Linked DNA regions of Schizosaccharomyces pombe. The gene in region 1 interacts genetically with each later gene. Each region holds a gene or a part of one and is shown on either strand. Other genes may lie near its edges.

Region 1 (5,871 bases):
GGAAGAGATTTGAGATCTCTGATAAGAGTATCAAGGCTTTCAGGAATGGCATCAGATGGAGTAGTATCTTCAAGGTTATAAACGATCAATGCCAAGTCATAAAAAGCCTGAGTGGTGTCTTCTAAACGGCTTGCCAATGATTTCATTTCATCAGTCATGTCATCTTGGGGCAGCATTTCGAAAACCAAAGATAAAAATAGGTTTAAAGATCAATTTAATGCAGCACAAGTGCACTGAATACAGCAGCCTTCAATTTATTGCTGTCTCAACTGTATAATGGTTATGCTTAAACTACGGTACTTCTTCCAGTTCACTATTTGCAAGTGAGTTGGTTTAATTTTATAGTAATAAGCAAATTACAAAGTCTGTTCTACTAATAGAGAAATACTGAATTCATTATAATATTGATTCCTCCTAAATGTTCTATAAATATTAGCGTCAACAGACAAGATAACTTGAAATAATACTTTCGTTTAGTCAATTTAGCGAAAGCATCATTAGTACGATCTATTTCTTGACTTCCAGGTATACAAGTACAAAAAGCTTTAGCCTTCATGCAATATCACATCGTATTGCTTTAGCCCTGTTCATAGGTTTAACTATTCCGAAAAAGCTATGTATAATTTTTGACTAATTTATTAATAAGTAACCAAGTCAAACAAAAACAAGTTGAAAAGAAAAAAGTTTATTATTTTAAGTAAAAGCATTTAAGTTACGAGAAAAAACGATAAGCAACAGAAGGACAGTCGGAAAAGAAACTCGAAGTTTTAATAAATTAGGACAGTGGCCTCCACACCTTCGTACCTCCCTGTAGGTTTCAAAAGCTTTCATGATTATTGCCCTGCTAAAACCACACGATATCCATAATAAGAAGAACAAATCTGAATGTATCGGCAATTAATTGCATAAAAAAAGGTTAAACGATTAACTTAATTGCGAGTAAAGAGTTAGCTGAAATTCATATTCTTCACGGCACATGAAATAATAATTGATGGCAAAGGGAATTAAGGAATGAATTCAAAACGTAGTATTGAATGCCGGAAAAATGATTAAAAGAATATGTGTGACCTCCAACTGTAAGTCTATTTGAAGCGTAAGCATACCTAGTAAGAAATGGATAGAAATTGTCATTAAACTGTCATTAGTACTACAATCTGCTATCACTCTGAGTGCTTGAAGTTACAGATTCTGTTCCAACAGGAATAACAGATGCAGCCGGGGATGCTGTTGATTCGCTTTCAGTGACTGAGTTTATTTTTGAGCTCTCTCGTTTGGAATTCCTGCCATCTTTATGAATTACGCGACACCATCGACTATGTCCCGGCCATGCTTGATGCTGGCATTCTTTACTGCAATATTTTGTACGTCGGCATCTTCTGCATTTAGCAAATTGACGACTGTGCTCTTCCCATTTGTTACATAACAAATTGGCGCATCGACGTATACCACCATGACTTTCATCTTTCCGACAGTAATTATTCATGATAGCTCTGGCCCAGTATTGAACTTGTGGGGGGTAGAATTTCAAGGTGAACTGCTCGACTAACTGAAAAATATTCCACGTTTTACTGCCGCTACGTAAGGGCGACATACGTAAACTTGGAACATCTTTAGAAGACTCGAAGTAAGGACGCATATGGAAATAGTTTTTACTAGTATAAGCAAGAATTTGCAAACCAAAAAGTATATCTTCTTCACGAGGGAGTTTATTAATCTTCTTATCAAAGTTGTCAAAGAATGAGGCAATCCCGTGATAATCAACTACATTTTCGGGCCTGCGGCCATCTAATAACGCAGATGTAGAAGGAACACCAGGTAAAAGTTGATTACGACGCTGACGATTATTCAAGGCCTGTGATTGAACATTATTTAAAGACAATTGCACATCCCGTGATGAATCCTGAGTAGTAGTCATAATATTAAGCGGAGTTGGAAAGAAAAAATTTGGAGAGTCTATCTCGTCATTAATTGTCTCACTAGCAGGGCCTGTTTGACGAGAGTATGAAGGAGAAGAAGGGGTAGTCATGTTATAATTAACATTTTCAGTAGAAGTAGGAGTAGAGGGTGCAGCTGATGAAATTCTTTGAATGGTTAATGGAGAGTTTGCTTGAACACGAGGATCTTGAAATGAATCATTTGAATAAATGGAGCCGGAGGATCGATCATGACTAGTGGTAGAGCTTGATCCCAATAAATCACGATTCACGGAATGTCGAAACGTAGATTGATTTGGAAGTTGGACATCTCCACTATCCCGTAAATCCACCGAATAAACTCTTCTAGAGCTAGAGCTTGCCGTACTAGCTCCAAATGGAGATGGTACATCACCGTTGACGAACAAAGAGTCAGCAGATGAATTGTGTTGAGACACAGAATCAAGAGAATTGCTAATATTAGAATTAATGGGGAATGGAGCAGATGCGGATGATGGAGGAGGGGTAGTAGAAGGTGTAAGGGAAAATTGAAATCGAGAATGGTGAGAAACAACGGACTCAAGCGCAAACAAAAAATCATCTAAAAGGGTGACAACAATAGGAACGATACCAGCTTCCACAACACGAATTCGAATAGCTTCAGACCCACGTATCCCAACATTTACGACACACTGAAGAGCTAGCTGCCATATTGTCATTCGGGCAAATGTTTGTCCACGTCCGGCACGTAAAATATTCATTAAACGCATCAAACCACCATCCATAGTAAGGATCTCACGAATTTTCGGTGAAGTCGAAGTCAAATAAACGAGATGGCTTAATGAATTCATTAATGACATTTCGGAGTCACAGTCAAGCGCACGTCGATCATAAAGGACTGTATTGATAGTGACAGAAGCTTTGTTATTCCATACGATGCTAACGTTCGATTCCCTCATCTTTCTTTAATAATATATTTAACACGTATAAAGTTTTTTAAAGACAATTGCTGCAGTATAAATTACTGGCAAACGCAAAGATTGGCGTAAAACGAACGATGTGATAATATTTTTTTTAGTTAAAGACAAGCAGTTTTCGAATACCAAAATTTTACTCAATAATTTTCAAAACTGCTGTGTGTAAACGCAATAACCGAAGAGAAAAACCAAGAACAAACGCCGATAGCAGGAAGAATAAGTAGTGCCCCAAAATCACGAAAACGAAAAAAAATAAAAATTACTGTTTTCGCAGATTTTAAGTCCCGCCGAATTTGAAATCCTTTTAAGCAATCTACACCAATTATTCTTCAAAACGAGTAAACGTAAAAGGGACTACGGTTAGCTCAAGCTTGAAGTCAAGAACTGATAAAGGAGCAAAAAAAATACTAAAAGAAAAAGGAAGTAAGGAGCAAGGGCACTTTTTTAGCCGAGAAGCGACACAGATCAAGTAAGTTCAACAATAGGAAGTATAACAACGAAAAAGTTGTAACCCGGGGTCTGCTAAAATCACGAGGCTAAAGAAAGAGAGAAGTGGCAAACAAAAAAAACCCGAGATTAACGAAGATACAAAGAGAGAATGAATAAGAATAGTTTGATGAAAACCACAATAACCTTGAAAATAAAAATAAAGGATATGCTCAGTACCTTTTTAGACAAGATTAGTGGAAAATCAAATCACAGCTGACAAGAGTAAGAGAAGAGAGAATAGCACAAGATGATTTGCATCAATTAAAAAAGTAAAGTTCGAAGAAAAATGTTAGGATTTGGAAAAGGAAAACGGTGGTGAAGCTAAATCAGCCTTGTTGATAAACAAAGAATAAGTGTTTTCTTATAATCGCAAGGATTTAGCTTAAAAACCACAGTAAATAGTTTTTGCAAGTCCCTTAATTTTAATTGAATGAATTCTTTTTACGAAAATTTCCCGGATCCTCGTTCTCTTATTCAGATTCTTGGAAGTGGCAGTTGACAGAAGGCAACTTCATTTCACCCGAGTGTCAACCGAGTTTGAAAACGATCGTCAGTGAACGTACCTTTAAGGCACCATAACGCAAAGTATGCTGGGTTGTTACTGGCTATAATGGTTGGGAACTCTCGGCGATCTTTGATGCTGGATGTTACCTTTGAAGAGATCGACATCTCGGCAACAATAACTCAAAAAACTTGCTGCAACTTTAACTAGCAACAGTTGGTATTTCTTTCACTATAGTCAGTCATTTTTTATTCATACGAACATCTTTGTGTCTTTAAGTTTTTAGCAGAATCTGTGTATGAATTTTTTCTTTTAAGTCAAAATGTTGCCTAATACGTTGGTCGCATAAGCCGATTTTTGTATTCTGTAAATTCACTTTAGCAGAACATTTGGGTAAACCGGTCCGAATAAGCTGTCAGTGCTGAAAATAACCAATGTCAGATTTTGTAATCTCATTTGATTGACAAGTTCATCAGATCAGCACAACTCCAAACCAGCCGCTTCTTTACCTGTGAGTCCTGCCACTTTGAGTAACAAAACTAAAATTAGTCGCACTGGTAGATACTCGATCGTATGTCAATGGGGCAAGGTAAAGAACAATCAATTTATAAATATAAATATGTACATATTAAATATATTTTGGATTGGATTTTTCATTTTATTGTATTTTAATGTGTTATTTACGAATTGCGTTGGATTCTTCAAAATTGTCATGTTTACAACTTTCTCATTTCTACAAGTGTGATTCCCTCAACATAATATCCATAAATTTTTCGCTTATCTTGCTTAGTAAGTAAACTCAGATCGAAACTCAAGGTTAATAATACTAATATGGATTGCTTGTCTTATTTCTACGCGCCATTCCGGCCTTTCAAATGCAAAAACAGTTATTTTATTATTATCCGAACAGTCCAAAGCGCTGAATATCCTCAACTTCGTAACAACGTCCATTTACATGACCCATTGCCTCGTAAACAATTAATTACTAATATTTTACACGATTACTAAATATTAAACTGATAGCGCCAATAAATGTCATATGTAATCTAGGCCTCCAGCTTCTTTTTAGCCATTTCCTCTTTCCATTTTCGCGAAAGTTCGAGCATTTTGCGCATCTTATCTCCTTGATCAGTCGCCGTATCCGGAAACAGATAGTCCAAATATTCTTCGAATGAACCGTCTTCAAGTCTACGGCGTTTCTTAACAACCTGTGGCATTAGTGAAGAGACATGCTTACGTGTATCTTCCGTGCCATGCATTGCCTCAAATTGTTTCCATGCTTCAAGTAATACAACTCGCTCTTCCTTCAAACCCTGCTGGCGTAAATGGGCCAATGCATTTTCAAAAACATTTCGCGCACGCACAACAGCGGTTGGAGAAGCCACTTCTTCATTCGGTGGTTCTTCGTCATCGTCCTCCAGATGGGCAATTTCAAAGTTTGCAAAACTAATCCAAACTTTAACATGAGGTGCAGTCCGTAGTAACTGCTGGTAAATACTTCTAGCTTTTCCGTATTCCATTTCCTCGAATTCAAAATCAATATAAGCCTTCCACACAAGCTCTGGGGTTTCCAAAATAGGCTGGTTTACAGCCAAATTATATAAAGCGCGAGCACGATCACTATCTCCAAGCTTAGTCTCTAAGGCAGCGTAACCAAGCCAGGGAGCACAAGCCTCGGGATCATAAAGAATCCATTTTTCATAAAGAATTCGACACCTGTCAAACTGCTTAATTGCGTCTTCGAATTCAATATAACCTCGGAATAATTTTGGTTTTGGACACATTCCCAACGCACGACCCAACGTTTTTCTAGCAACATCAATCTTACGTTGCCTAAGCTCAAACATTGCATACATGAGCCATAATTTGGCAAATGTAAATTTTTTATGGGGTATAAGCTTGAGAGCTTCTTGGTAAACCTTTCTTGCGCGGTCAACGTCCTTCACATCTATCTCTTCAAATAAGCAATAGTTTAACCAAATATAAACGT
Region 2 (4,506 bases), on another chromosome or scaffold:
ATTGAGGAAACTCCTTCAAGGCATGATGATCGTAATCATTTAAGAAGTCTTTGACATGTATTATGCATCTAAATGTCAGAGGTTGAGAAAAAAACAAATAAACAAATCTGAAAGTGTCAGGAAAATGACTTGGCAATAATTCAAGCTTATTCATGTTAACCAACGTCAATAGTAATGGTTAATAACTCGACGTCCGCTTAACAAACACTAGGGTAAATTTACCTGCAACTTGTAATTGAGGAATTCTAAACGCATTCCCCACAAGCTAGTTTCTGTTAACAAATATTTTTATAGATTTTGTCTAAAATCTATTTTCTGGTTAAATAATCAGTAAATTGCTACACTTTTATTCACAAGAAAACAAATTTTTAAAATAAAAATTTATTAGTGAAATCCTATATGATGATTTAAGTTACCCTAATACTCAAAAAAGGAAGGTTGTCCGAGTGGTTATGGAGCTAGTTTAAGGCACTAGTGCGAAAGCTCGTGGGTTCGAGTCCCACACCTTTCATTACGATCTTTTTAATAAATTTTTTTACATTTTATAAACAAATGTAAAATGACCCTTAAATATAGTTAAAACATATATATTGTGGATATCTCTATTCATCTTCTTCCTAAATTTTTCGTCTCGGCGTTGCATATTTGGTCAACAAAAACTATTCAGCGCTCTTATGATATGGAGATGCTTCTACAAGAAAATCATTTCGCACTACAAACAGATGGGGTGGTAAAAACAATTAAAAATTCGAATTATATTTAAAAGACAGATAAAAGGAAAAATAAAATAGCAACCTTAGACTCAAATTATATAGCCGATAGTCAAGATAATATTATTAAGTTCGACTTAACAAGGTAAAGTTTGAAAACTTGTTCAAAAGAAACCAGAAAATAGTATTAATAGAAAAGAAGAAAGACAAGACAATTTCAATGTGGGATACAAGATGCTTTAGCGAGTGGATCAATCAAATTAAATCAAATTTGATGTTTCTGCAATTCAAATATAATACACAGCTTTAAGGCACTATAATAAGGCCTAGTTAAAGTCAGAGAGAAAATGGGGGAAAATTGCTTAGTGATTTCAAGGGTAAAGAGAGGAGAAAAAATTTGGAAAGCAATTAAAAAAGAAAAGAAAAATACAACAAGATTTATATAGCACACAAAATTATTGATAGTTAAAAAGGACCAAAGAAACTTTTAACACCTTGAAAGCAATTTAGCAGCTAAATGATTCAAACGCAATCACAATCTACTTAGCCTTAGTGCTGATCTTTCCCTGTTCGTTGAAAAGAGGTCCCTCAGTTCCAAAAACACGGTCCCAAAACCAGCTGGTGATACCATAGGCAGACTTGTAATCCTTGTAGTGATGGTCCAAATGCCAGGTCTTCAAATCAGTCAAGTAAGCATTGGGCATACGACGGTGATGTAAGAAATAGTGGGTAAGATCGTAGAAAACGTAACCAAGAATGGCACCAGAGAAACCAGCAACACCAATGTAGTGAGGAAGAACAAGTTGAATAAAGTGATACCAGGGAGTGGCAAAGATAAGGAACAAAGCAGGAGGCATTACAAGACGGTACTTGTCAGCAGGTAAGAAGTGGTGGCAACCGTGGAATGCGAAGTGCATAGTCAAGAAAATAGGATGATCAGGGGTGTACTCATCCAAGTGGAAGAGGAAACGATGCATAGTATATTCAACCAAAGTCCAGGTGAATAATCCAATGATGAAGAAGGTGATAGCAACAGAGAAGGGAATTCCGGTACAGGCGTACAAGAATCCATAAGTGACACAGGGAACCCAAATCAATGGAATCATATACCAAGGGGTCTTGGTAAGAGGCTCCAAAAAGTTTCCAAACAAAGGAGCAGAACCGCTGCCACGGTAATGACGGGGACGGTGAACTTGGTCCAAATAAACATCCTTCTTGATGTTACCAAACAAAATTTGGGGCAATAAAGGCTTCTTGAGGTCAAGGAAATGGTTCTTCTCGAAATCCTTGTCAAGATCGGTAGGCTTGACAATGAATTCATTGCCATAACCGACACCAATGTTCTGGTCGACAAGATCACTGAATTCCTTATTCTTCAAAGGAACCTTAGCACTTTTCAAGATCTCAACAACAGCTTCAGAGTGCTTGGACTTGGAGGTAGCATTAAGGATATCAGCAACCTCTTGGCGGTGATAGCGACGAAGCAAGTCAGCAGCGTCCTTGTTGGCAACCAAGTAGTTGGTGACTAATGGAATGTTAGTATAAAGAACGATACATGTATTTTGGTGTAACTAAGGCAAAGGGGGAAAGGTGAAAAAAAGTTAAAAGCACAACGAACAAAGAAAAAAGATAAGAAATGGCACATCTCCCACAATGGATCTTTTGCCAATAAGCCTTTGCTATATGCGTTTTCATTGTTTTTTATACATTGCCTCTCAAACACTCTGTTGCCGAGAAAAAATTTTAGTCCTTCAACCAAATCTCCTTCTCAAAACCCAAACACCCTGCCATTTCTCCTTGTTTAAATACTTACCATCGTATTCAGTGCCGTCAGAAAGGATAACACACTTTTCACTAGTAACAGAGGCCATTTTGGAGATGGGAGTATGAATTGTTAATTCGTGATAAAACTGTAGCAAGCGTGTTTCTGATGAGTTTGATAAACAAATACAGTAAATATTACAACGTAGCAACTGATCCTATGATTCTTTACTTGGATTTTTGTCCAATTGATCAAAATGTCAGTTCTTTGTTTGTGTTGCGTTAATGGCACGATGTTGTGGCGTGGATGCAGTAGCCTATATATGTCGCAGGAAAGGGCAAAAAGGCATTGCGGGGCGAACCAAAAAATCGTGCTATTTTTGATCGACTTTTCCGAAAAATGGTAAGACAACGGAAAACAATATTTACCGTATCGCAAAACGGGTTCCGAAACTGAACACCAGAAAATTGCACTCAAGGGCCTATACACAGGGAAAGAACAGACGAGTGAAGTGCTTTACAGATACAATTCATTGATTTATTCATAGTAGACTAAAAATTATTATTTGCGAAAAAATACTTGAAAAGAGAAAACCTTAAGTTGATCGAAATTTATTAACTTTTCGTGATTTACTTTTCGTTGGTTTGGTTAGGTATAATTTTGTTTTCCTTCCTTTCCGTTTCTTTGCTTCTTATTGTCGGTAATTGTTTTTAGCTTGGAATTTCCTTATTCCGCTATTCCTCGCTTTCTTTTTTGTTTGTACTAAAATTTCTCTCATCTTTTATCGCTTAGGCAGTAGAATATTCCACTTTTTTTTCCACCGAAAGAAAGAGGACAAAATAGCTCAAAAGAGTACTCATTATTAATATTTTTTAACAAAACAATTCGTGTTAGAAGCGACGAAAGCTACTAGACTGACAAAACTCCATTTTTACTAGCTTACTTAGTTTTCCAGTCGAAGTCTGTTCCGATCCTGTCAGAGTTTGTTGTATTGAAAACGAAAATAAACGAACGTATTTTCCACGCATAGATAAACAGATCTAATCTAAATGCAGCTGGACGCGGAAGCCTTGGCTGAGGCTCCTTTTCGTAAGCAAGAAGTGGTACGTTTACAATTTTTTTCCTTCCTTCCCGCCTTTTCCCTTTGTTTTTTTGTCTTCCCGTGTTTATTGTTTTTACTAACCCTTTTCCTAGCCGCAAAATCAAGAAAATCAGCAAAAGGCATCTTCTTCTTTTCATGAATCCTCACTCACCTCTTCCACTCATAGTCATCCCTCTAACCCTCCTCCACCGCCTACACGGTTGCATGATCGCTCTTTCAAACCCGTGTCTAAAAATTACGAAAGTGAAGGTCGTCTAACTCCTCCTCCCGTTTCAATGGGTTATCGGTACGCCAGATCTTCCAAACAATCTTTTCAACGAGAGGATAGCGGTTATAACGATGATGTAGTTACAAATTCCTCAAGTCATCGCACCCCAAGACACCATAGGAGATCATATAGTCCAAGGTCCGATTATGGTAGTCGCTCTCCCTCTCCTCACTCTTCTGTAGATTCTCATCAAAGTAGATCACCCGTTCGTTCTCGCGATCGCGATCGCAGTTCAAGGTCAAGTCGAAGCCGCCATCCCTCAAGTCGTAGTCGCCATCGATACGATGATTATTCACGCAGCCCTCCTTACTCTTCGCGGCATAGTCGTAGTCGTCGCCGCTATGAAGAACGCTCCTCTCGTTCTTCTAGAGCCCATGATTATGATTATGAGGACTTGAGGGATGATGACCGTTCACATGAGCGTAAGAGAAGTCGTTCCCGTCCTCGTGAACGCTCCTCTAAACTTTCAGAGGAAGAGCGTGATCGCCGTACTGTGTTCGTTTCTCAACTCGCAAATCGTTTGACTTCTAGGGAATTATATGATTTTTTCGAACAAGCTGGTCCTGTTCGCGATGCTCAAATTGTTCGAGACAAGATTAGCGGACGATCGAAAGGGTATGTCTTATAATTTTTTTTTTTTTTTTAAATAGATATTATTCTGTTT
Region 3 (4,649 bases), on another chromosome or scaffold:
ACTGAAGCTACTACCAAAAAAGAGTAATTTTTTTTATTATTTTAGAATTCTTTTAAAAGAAAATAAAATTAAAAAAATAATACACTAGAAATCGACATCGTTGACATATCCTAATATTGAGACTCCCAGTGATTGCCTTTAACTTAACCTCTCCACTCCCATCTCCATTTAAACAGAAATCGGAATCAGAGAAATGTCGTTCTTTGGCCTTAAAAGATATTCTACTCCTATTTTAAAACCTATGCTTCCTTTTTTTCTAGGGGGTATGTATATTTTTCAACGATTTGAATTATTATTAACATGTCTTGACAGGAGCCATCGTATTCTATGGTACTGTAAAGCTTCGTGATGCTATGATGGATTGTACGTTTTTAATAGAAATAGAACAATTTTTTAACTCTATGTAGCTGCGGAGTATCGCAATGATCCTAGAAACCCAAAGGCTGGAAAGTACGGAAGTGATCATTAAGTTGATGACGAGTTCATGTCTTTCACTTCCTAAAATGTTTCAGCCCTTTTGATGTGATTTAATGGAAGTCAATGAAATTACACTGCTTGTTTTTGTAGCAGTTACAATTGATCAAAAGTTCTGTAATCAATCGAATTTATTTGTAGGAGATCAATCATTTAAATTAAAGTATTAAATGTATATTTAAATATGAACTTTTCAAATAAACAGAAGGAAAAAATGAATTTCCATGCTTTTTAGGAATACATGTGTTGCACGAAATAAATATTCACTTTGACTGAAAAGTTATGTACTTAGTCGTCATTTAATTCGCTCATTTTGTAATCTTTTAATTTACCTAGATAATTTGATAATCCTCAGAAAAAGTACCTCAAACATATTGTTCCTATTTTGTGTTTCCAATTAAGCAGATCTTTGGGCACGGATTTCAAAAGCTGTAAAATAACGTATTACAGAAGGTTTAGTATACACTTCTATATTGAAGCTGGTATTGTATTCTCTAGAACTGAGGCTTTTACTAAAAATAAAGCAGTATTAGCATTTTTCGTTTTCAATACTACTTCGCCATGTAGGCGATCGTTTTTTGCATTCACTCCAAAAAAGAATCATCGGAAAAACTATTGAAAGAGAATAGCAGTTCAATATGATTCTGTAAGTAAAATCCTGAACGTTCATAGAAAATCATTTTGGATTTGTTTGCTTTGTTTACAAAACAAATCACTTTGAAGTGATTCTCTTTGAGGATATGAAAAAATATGCTAGAATTCCACATTCTTCATAATGTAAACAAAACATTATTGCTTTTTGTATCAATAAATTTAATCCAAACCTCTTTTCTTTCCACTAGAAAACCACATGTCATTCATATTTTGTACTTTTCGGAAGAAAGTCAGAACAAGCTCCCACTCAGGTACTTCATGCTACAATGTAATGCACAAACAATTGAAGGGTAAAATATCTGTTGGAGCAAATGATTCCGTGACATTTCAGCCACATCACAAACGGCTTACTTCGGAATAAACAAATATTATTCTAACGGAAAAGAAAAAAAAAAATCCGCGTTCAGTAGAAGTCACTGCAAAAATATGAACCAACAAATTTGAATTCGCTTTGCTTACTAAATTTATTAAGTCTCATGTAAAGAAACAATCAACATCCACAGCCTTAAGGCAATCATGGTACAAACATTAAATAAAATATTCCACTCTTTTAGAAACGAGCATCTTAAAAAATTAGTTGACGAGGGAAGTAAACAAAGACATTGAAGTATTGCTTAGTAAAATAAAAAATTAGTCACATTACATTGTATATATCATGTATTCAAAACATCCTTCTACTCCAAATATAGCTCGTTGCAGCGCTCTATTTGCCTTCCTCTTTGATTTCTGTGATGATGCGATTCTAACAACCACAGTCATCTCTGTGAATTAGAATCTTAGCAAAATGACGGTTGTTGACATTAAGATTGGTAATAAATATCGTATAGGTAGAAAAATTGGTTCTGGCTCCTTTGGTCAAATTTACCTGGGATTAAATACGGTAAATGGAGAACAAGTTGCTGTGAAATTGGAGCCTTTAAAGGCTCGTCATCATCAGTTAGAATATGAGTAAGTAGTGCTTTAATATTTTTTTACTTAAGTATAAGTTGGATTTCTTTCGGAACTCCAATTTCTTCTTTATATCTATCAACCGTAGCTCGATGTTTTACAACCAAAAAGGAAAAGCAAAAGTTACTCCATTTGGTTATTTTTCTTTTTTCTTTCTAACATTTAGGTTTCGTGTGTATAATATTCTTAAAGGAAATATTGGCATACCCACAATTCGCTGGTTCGGTGTAACCAATAGTTATAATGCTATGGTCATGGATTTATTAGGCCCTTCTCTGGAAGATTTATTCTGCTATTGTGGAAGAAAGTTTACTCTTAAAACGGTTCTTTTACTTGCTGATCAACTCATCAGTCGCATTGAATATGTTCACTCCAAGTCATTCTTACATCGAGACATTAAGCCTGATAATTTTTTAATGAAGAAGCACAGCAATGTTGTTACGATGATTGACTTCGGATTGGCGAAAAAATACAGGGATTTTAAAACTCATGTTCATATTCCATATCGAGATAATAAGAATCTTACGGGAACGGCTCGATATGCTAGTATTAACACCCATATTGGTATTGAACAATCTCGCCGTGATGACCTCGAATCGTTAGGTTATGTTTTACTTTATTTTTGTCGCGGCAGTTTGCCCTGGCAAGGCTTACAAGCTGATACAAAGGAGCAAAAGTATCAACGGATACGTGATACCAAGATTGGCACTCCTTTGGAAGTCCTTTGCAAAGGTCTTCCCGAAGAGTTTATCACTTACATGTGTTACACTCGTCAGCTTTCGTTTACCGAGAAGCCAAACTATGCTTATTTGAGAAAGCTGTTTCGTGATTTACTTATTCGTAAAGGATACCAGTATGACTATGTTTTTGACTGGATGATATTAAAATACGTAAGTTTTGAAAAGAAAATGATAAGGTGATACGTTAGTTTAACCTTAACAAATGATTGAAAATTCGATTGACTAACTATTATTAGCAAAAGCGAGCTGCTGCTGCTGCCGCCGCTTCTGCTACAGCACCTCCACAGGTTACATCTCCTATGGTGTCACAAACTCAACCGGTTAATCCCATTACTCCTAATTATTCATCCATTCCCTTACCTGCTGAGCGGAATCCAAAGACTCCACAATCTTTCTCCACTAATATTGTTCAATGTGCTTCTCCCTCACCTCTTCCTCTCTCCTTTCGTTCTCCTGTTCCCAACAAAGATTATGAATACATTCCATCTTCGTTGCAACCTCAATACAGTGCTCAACTGAGGCGTGTTTTAGATGAAGAACCAGCTCCTTGATTTTTTGACTTTACTTTTCATCAATTCCTCTCTTACACTACGTCTTTTAGTCTTAAATTCCAAACCATCTGTTGACGTTTTAAAGTTCCACAAATATCTTTAATAATTCCTGGCTTTCTTTTTTGTCTATGGATGGCCGGATTGCTACACTAATACACTTTGAGGTTTAGCTATTGTTTTGAGCTATTCCATTTTGCCTAGAAGTTGAGTTTTAATGCCTTCTTTTTAAATAGACATATTGTGTAAACCTCATACATGCTTTACTGAAAAGACATAATTAGAGGACAAAATTTAAATCGTGCTGTTTGTTTATATTCAGCTCGTTCCGGTCAAGTTCTTGCCAAAGAATTGAGTCAGTCGTGCTATTCATTTCTAAATTTCTTCTTCCCAGAATTTTATTTTATTGTTTTCGTTCCCCATTGGTTCTTACATTCCGTTTTTATTCAAAACTGAAAAGTTTGTACCTCCATTGCTAGAAGTAATATACACAAGGAGCATGTTTCTTTTTTTACACTATCATTTGCGTGGCTCTAAACCAGTCTTTATTGCCTACCTTTGCAATAAAAGATATAATATCAATTGCATAAGAAATAATTCATTAATAAATGATAAATTTCATCGATTAAATAGATCGCTATTTTTCACACTGTATTATGGGCAAGTAGCGTAAAAAATATTAGCTCTGTTGGAGTTGACCGCTGGATCATCAAGTTTTACATACTATTTAATTTCGGCTGTAGCAAAGAAAAATATCCATCGATTTGCCATATTATCATATCTATTGCTTTCTGTGGTATTTTAACCACCGGTATTTCACTTCTACAAATGTAAACAAAGCACGTTGATTTGTTTACATTACAGTTGCCCCAGTAACACATTATGGATCAGCACCACAAAGAAAAATCATTCAAAATTGATGCTCAAATTCAATATTCTACAGGCTCAAGAAGGGATCTATACTTATTTTTACTAAACCCATAACTATCATCTCTGTTTCGTCTGCGGTAAAAAAAAAATTGTTTAGATTAATGTAAAAACAGAGCAAAATGAGATTTGTCACTTAGTACAACAATGTGTTACCTCTACACGCAACTCCTGAGTTGCGTCGCATGTTATTTGATGAGCTGACTTTGCGCACAAAACCAATACATAACAAAGAGATCTTAGGATTTGGAAGTTGCGCTACACCAAATACTTTTCATATTCGGTAAAGGGAAAGATTTTAAAAAAAGCTTCAGAATGGGATCAAGGTATGTACTAAATCTGATCAATCAATGTCTAA
Region 4 (4,674 bases), 3.5 Mb from region 1:
AAAGAGCTTCCCATTTTTAGCCATTGCCAATGCTCTGGTTCAGGGCTATTTGTCTTATTCGGAACGGAAGAGAAGTATATTCTCTTCAAAATTGTATGCTATATCGGCTTTATCTGGACTATGTATTATTCCTTTCACGCTTTTGTTTATGAAAAAGGACATTAACTCTTTACAAACGTTAAATCCAGATCTAATACTTAAAGATGTAAAGGCTACTCAAAATTTCCGCAGTATAATTCACAGATGGGGTTTTAAAAACTTATTTCGAAGCGCATTTATGTTTTTCTCTGGTTTAGCTTCAATCGCTGGATCAATTTACTTTTGATAACAAAACATAATTGTAATGTATCGTTTACGTGTTAACTCTTGCGTTCCGATATTCGTTGATGATCAAATAATATTAAGTTCTAATTTTTCTACTGCTGATTATTAAAACACTATATCACGTAGTTAAGTTCGTGAAATTTAAACTATTAAAAAATGCTAAAATTAAGAGAGCACATTTTTATTTTTAAAACGATTCGCTTATAAATTGTTCATACTGCTCAAACATTGTTGTTTGGATTCTATAGTTTGTCAGCTTCAAACAAGTCGACTGAATCAAATTTTTACAAAACGCTTTTCAAAAACGAAACGACTGTTGAAAAACACGGGTTGTTCAATGTTCAGTCATGCAACCAGCGATGCTTTGGGTCTATCAAGGTGTATAAAAGAATAAACATTAGCGGATTGGTTAAGTCTTCAACCTTTTGGTAATTATATGTAACCCATTAACATTTATTCGTAATACCTTTACGAAATCTCGGTATAGGATATCGTTTCAATGCTTGTTCTTCTTGCGTAATACATGAGCAGATAAGTATAGTTTTTAAAGCACTCTACAAGAACTTAACAAAACTCCTAAGTTAAATATCAAATAACAACGACTAATCCTTTTGGTTTATATAAGAGAACACCTTTTTTCGGGTCGTTAAATACATGTCCATAAATTTTGAGTTCATCATGATTGAAACGAAGACGAAGCTCAATCTAGAGAAACGAGGATACTTCATCTGTACTCATTATAAGAAATGCAGTTCATTGGTCGTTTGCAGGCTGGGCTCTAGGTTGAGAGCCATTGGAATTCCTGTATTGGTTATATTGATTTCTTGCATATCCACGTCCACGACCTCTACCACCACGTCCACGACCACGTCCACGACGGCCGCGATTTCCAGAGCCAGCAACGCCAAATGTCTCCATGTTCAAAGAACGTTCGCGATCTCGTAGAGCTCTTCTATCTGCAGCTTCCATACCCTTCTCTTTACTTTCACAACTAATATTATCAAAAAAAGATTGCTTAGGCTTGTAAAATTCTTCGGCTTCTTCATCATTTTTTCCTTTTAACAAATCATCTTTCATCGATTGAAACTTTTGATTTGCAGTTTGAAAGTCAAATTCGGTACGAGGCTTTGCAGCACTAGCATCAGGTTGAGTTGTAGGAACTTCTTTAGAAGGTCCAGATGTTTCAACGGTTTGGGATTGAGAGACATCCACAGTAGTATTCACAACACGGTCATTTGTGACAGTGGAATTCCGTATACTAGTACTTTCTTTTTCAATAGATGCTTCAATGGAGGGCTGTGCACCTGGTATCACTCCATTCGTGGGCGGCATGGATTGAAGAGACGGAGATGCAGATACCGCGGTAGGACCAGGAGCAGGCATGCCCGGAGCAAAGTTGGGAGGCTTCTGGTTTGAAGGCATTCCGTATCCAGGACGTACGTTGTACGGGGCCTGACCGGCAAACCCTTGAGAAACATTTTGAGCAAACTCAGGACGTTGACCCATTTGCTGTTGATCAGGTGCCCCATAATACGGGACCGCAGGTGTGGATGCGTCTAAGGGAGTACCCAAAGGCAAACCTCCAGGAGGTACAAATTGAGCGGGAGCATTCGGGTACATATAGTAAGGTGCACCTGCTGGAGGAGCCTGTTGGTATGGAGCTCCATAAGGGTTAGGTTGAACAGGCTGAGGAGGTTGGGCAGTCTGCGCTTGGTTCCAATTATACTGCCCGCTATTAGACTAATTATAGTTAAAATCATGATCTTGTCAGATATATAAAGAGTGCCAAAGATAATTAATACTAGATATACTAATGAGAATCTCCACCACTCTTTAGACGTAACATACCCCAATAATTGCAGGATCATTAGGAGGTTGAACCGGGGGAGCAGAAGGAGTAGTAGCAGGTTCCTCAATCCGTAAATCTTTAACATCGCTTCCACGAAAAACAATGTAATCAAATACATTATCTGATGGGGGGATTTCTTGAGAGGGATCTTGTTTTCTTCCTTCAGTACCACACCAACGGACTAAACTGTTAGTAATCAATGCTGGGTACTCAACCTACCATGCTTCAAAGCCAGTGTTGAGTCCTGGGAATTGATGTCCTGCAAAATGCCCACATAACTAAATATTAGTAAAGGAAAGATAATGCTCTCACGTACCGAATGTCAGATTTGCTAATTAGACTAATACGAGAACCAATAAATTCAGTCATTGGTTATAAACTCGACGAAGTAAAGCTTAGTGGTGAAAGGAGCGTGGTTAGGTGTCCTTTCGAAATTAACGAACTTGGCGATAGCGCTAGTATGGGGTTCATTATACCGAGTAAATAAGACCAAAATGCGACATTGTCATTTATAAGCTGTTTTTTCATCAGTTTTTATATTTATTTAAAATTAACATGCTTAAGATCAAAAAGGCTATCCACAGCTGCTCTGACCATGTACTACTTATTTTACTTAAATACGTATATGTGCAGCAGTCAAATTGTAACTAATTTTATACTTATTACAAGTAATCTATTTTTAAAAAGAATGAAAATGCCAAGCAAAAGACACTGTACTTTAACGCTCTTCAAAATTGAGTTAACCTGAAACCGCACCGTCAATTACATTATCCAACTAACATATTCATTTTCTGATACGTATGAAAATTTTAAGTTAAAGAATGAAACAAAAAACTTTTTAATATAACAAAAACCTTTTCCCAATTCAACGTAACTGAGTTTATGTCCAAAATTGTAACTCCCCTTGTTGATCTAATAGAGTAGCCTTGAAAAAAATATTCCAAAAGTAATATTTCATATCTAATTTTCCAATTTTGCTTTTTTGACAGAAGAAGTTTCTTTCTGGCCCTTACGTTTTGGAAACCTTCCGGCAGCTAGATTGCTGTCAGAAGTTAACACCTTGATCCCAGATAAAACGAAACCCATATCACCCCTAACAGTCATGAATGGATGAGTCCTTTCTGGCAAGACTTGGTAAGGTCGTGTACGAATCTCATGAATATCCAGCATGATGACTTTCTCTTTCTGTGTATCAATAGCAACGTCTCCTTGATCAACCTTTTCGTCATTTTCAGTACTTTGAGCTGTCTTTTCTACAAATAAGTTATCCCATTTAGATAATTGATGATACGTCTCGACTAAGACTTGCTGATATGTTGAGTATACCATGAAAGGACGTGATATACCGAGCTTTGGAAGAAGATGTTGAAGAACAGACATTGGGGTGTGAATAGATAGTATAAAGAGAGCATCATAGTTACCACTTTCAAAATCATCAATAGTATTCTTCAAACGGTTAAATGTAGCTTTCTTCGTTTCATAGCGCTTACGGTGGCGAAGTTTCATCTCATTCAACTCTGATTCAGGAATATCTTCAACCGAATACTCACTTAAAGTCTCGGTTGGATTCGTAACTTGATACCAATTCAAAGTTTTCAAAATCCCTTTTTGAACCAAACTATCCTCTTTAAAGTCTTGCCCCCAATACTCTAAACAAGAGCTATTAGGTTGCTCATTTGGATGGACCAGGGTTATTTTGCAATCACCAGCAACACGGTCAATAAGAGAACCAAGGAACATGCATCCAGTCTCATCAACTACCAAATATCTACCCCCAGGTTTAACATTTCCAAGAGTAAGCATCAAGCTTATACACTCGGCAGTAAGATCAAGTATCTTATACGGATCATGTTCAATCATGTAATTAGCCACAACTTCAACACAAGGTCGTAAAACCTGAAAGCGTTGAAGATACTTTTCCCCTTTTCTCGTAACATATTTCTCCTGAGCAAATAAAGTTTTTTGCTCAAAAGTTTTACTACTATTAGTCAACTGTTTGATGGCCTCTTCAGCACGAAGTCCACCAGCTTTAATGTTTGCGCGCAGTTCATCAATCTCCTCTTGAGTCATAAGCTGATTGCCTCGACAATCATTAAGTTCTTGATTCGTTTTCTTTTCTTCCTCGATATACTGTACCTCCCTTGTTTTTAAAACTCGAATTTTTTTGGGTTGATAAATTTCAAAAGTTTCGTCAAAATGCTTTCCAAACAAATCATCAGCGAGAAATGAACCAAATTTTCCGAGGTGAATTGTACTATTTAATATAAAGTCAGTAAGATCAATATGAACGAGATAAACTAGATCACCTCTATCTCCTTATGCAAAAAACAATTTCAATTGCTATCATTGAAAATGTACTTTAAATTGTAAATTAAGATCCTCATACTTACTTGTTTGGTTTCAATGTTACAAAACGAACATTGTCTGAAGGAAGCTTGATGAAAACGCTGCTGTTTTCGGAAATAGTTGATGCATGCCTCAGCATATTGTTCTTGGCAGTC

The links.
Region 2: mutations in mub1 (region 1) and scs7 together harm fitness more than expected from each alone (negative genetic interaction), as found in Schizosaccharomyces pombe (2 studies listed by BioGRID).
Region 3: mutations in mub1 (region 1) and hhp2 together harm fitness more than expected from each alone (negative genetic interaction), as found in Schizosaccharomyces pombe (2 studies listed by BioGRID).
Region 4: mutations in mub1 (region 1) and sum2 together harm fitness more than expected from each alone (negative genetic interaction), as found in Schizosaccharomyces pombe (2 studies listed by BioGRID).

The regions. Positions count from the first base shown.
Region 1 is NC_003423.3:3,766,106-3,771,976, forward strand, and holds mub1 (armadillo-type fold protein, zf-MYND type zinc finger protein, Mub1-Rad6-Ubr2 ubiquitin ligase complex Mub1), read right to left. Parts: upstream 3,880-5,871; 5' UTR 2,873-3,879; coding exon 1,148-2,872; 3' UTR 501-1,147; downstream 1-500. Other genes in the region: mediator complex subunit Med10, read right to left, coding at 1-176; protein Cwf4, read right to left, coding at 4,928-5,871.
Region 2 is NC_003424.3:4,055,033-4,059,538, reverse strand, and holds scs7 (ER sphingosine hydroxylase Scs7), read right to left. Parts: upstream 2,764-4,506; 5' UTR 2,582-2,763; coding exon 2,524-2,581; intron 2,504-2,523; exon of another isoform or gene 2,236-2,503; coding exon 1,250-2,235; 3' UTR 724-1,249; downstream 1-723. Other genes in the region: RNA-binding protein Rsd1, read left to right, coding at 3,522-3,575, 3,667-4,457. UniProt on the Schizosaccharomyces pombe protein: Ceramide hydroxylase involved in the hydroxylation of sphingolipid-associated very long chain fatty acids. Postulated to hydroxylate the very long chain fatty acid of dihydroceramides and phytoceramides at C-2.
Region 3 is NC_003424.3:1,047,123-1,051,771, forward strand, and holds hhp2 (serine/threonine protein kinase (CK1 family) Hhp2), read left to right. Parts: upstream 1-1,875; 5' UTR 1,876-1,912; coding exon 1,913-2,076; intron 2,077-2,242; coding exon 2,243-2,966; intron 2,967-3,052; coding exon 3,053-3,367; 3' UTR 3,368-4,014; downstream 4,015-4,649. Other genes in the region: atp18 (F0-ATPase subunit J), read left to right, coding at 194-263, 313-363, 408-469; SNARE protein Bet1, read left to right, coding at 4,607-4,617. UniProt on the Schizosaccharomyces pombe protein: Involved in DNA repair. May regulate the activity of protein(s) involved in double strand break repair caused by gamma rays.
Region 4 is NC_003423.3:265,358-270,031, reverse strand, and holds sum2 (translation initiation inhibitor), read right to left. Parts: upstream 2,577-4,674; 5' UTR 2,543-2,576; coding exon 2,490-2,542; exon of another isoform or gene 2,452-2,489; coding exon 2,393-2,451; exon of another isoform or gene 2,355-2,392; coding exon 2,173-2,354; exon of another isoform or gene 2,065-2,172; coding exon 1,078-2,064; 3' UTR 624-1,077; downstream 1-623. Other genes in the region: SPOM_SPBC800.14C (uncharacterized protein), read left to right, coding at 1-325; trm6 (translation initiation factor eIF-3 gamma subunit Gcd10), read right to left, coding at 3,134-4,427, 4,564-4,658. UniProt on the Schizosaccharomyces pombe protein: Required for G2/M phase checkpoint control.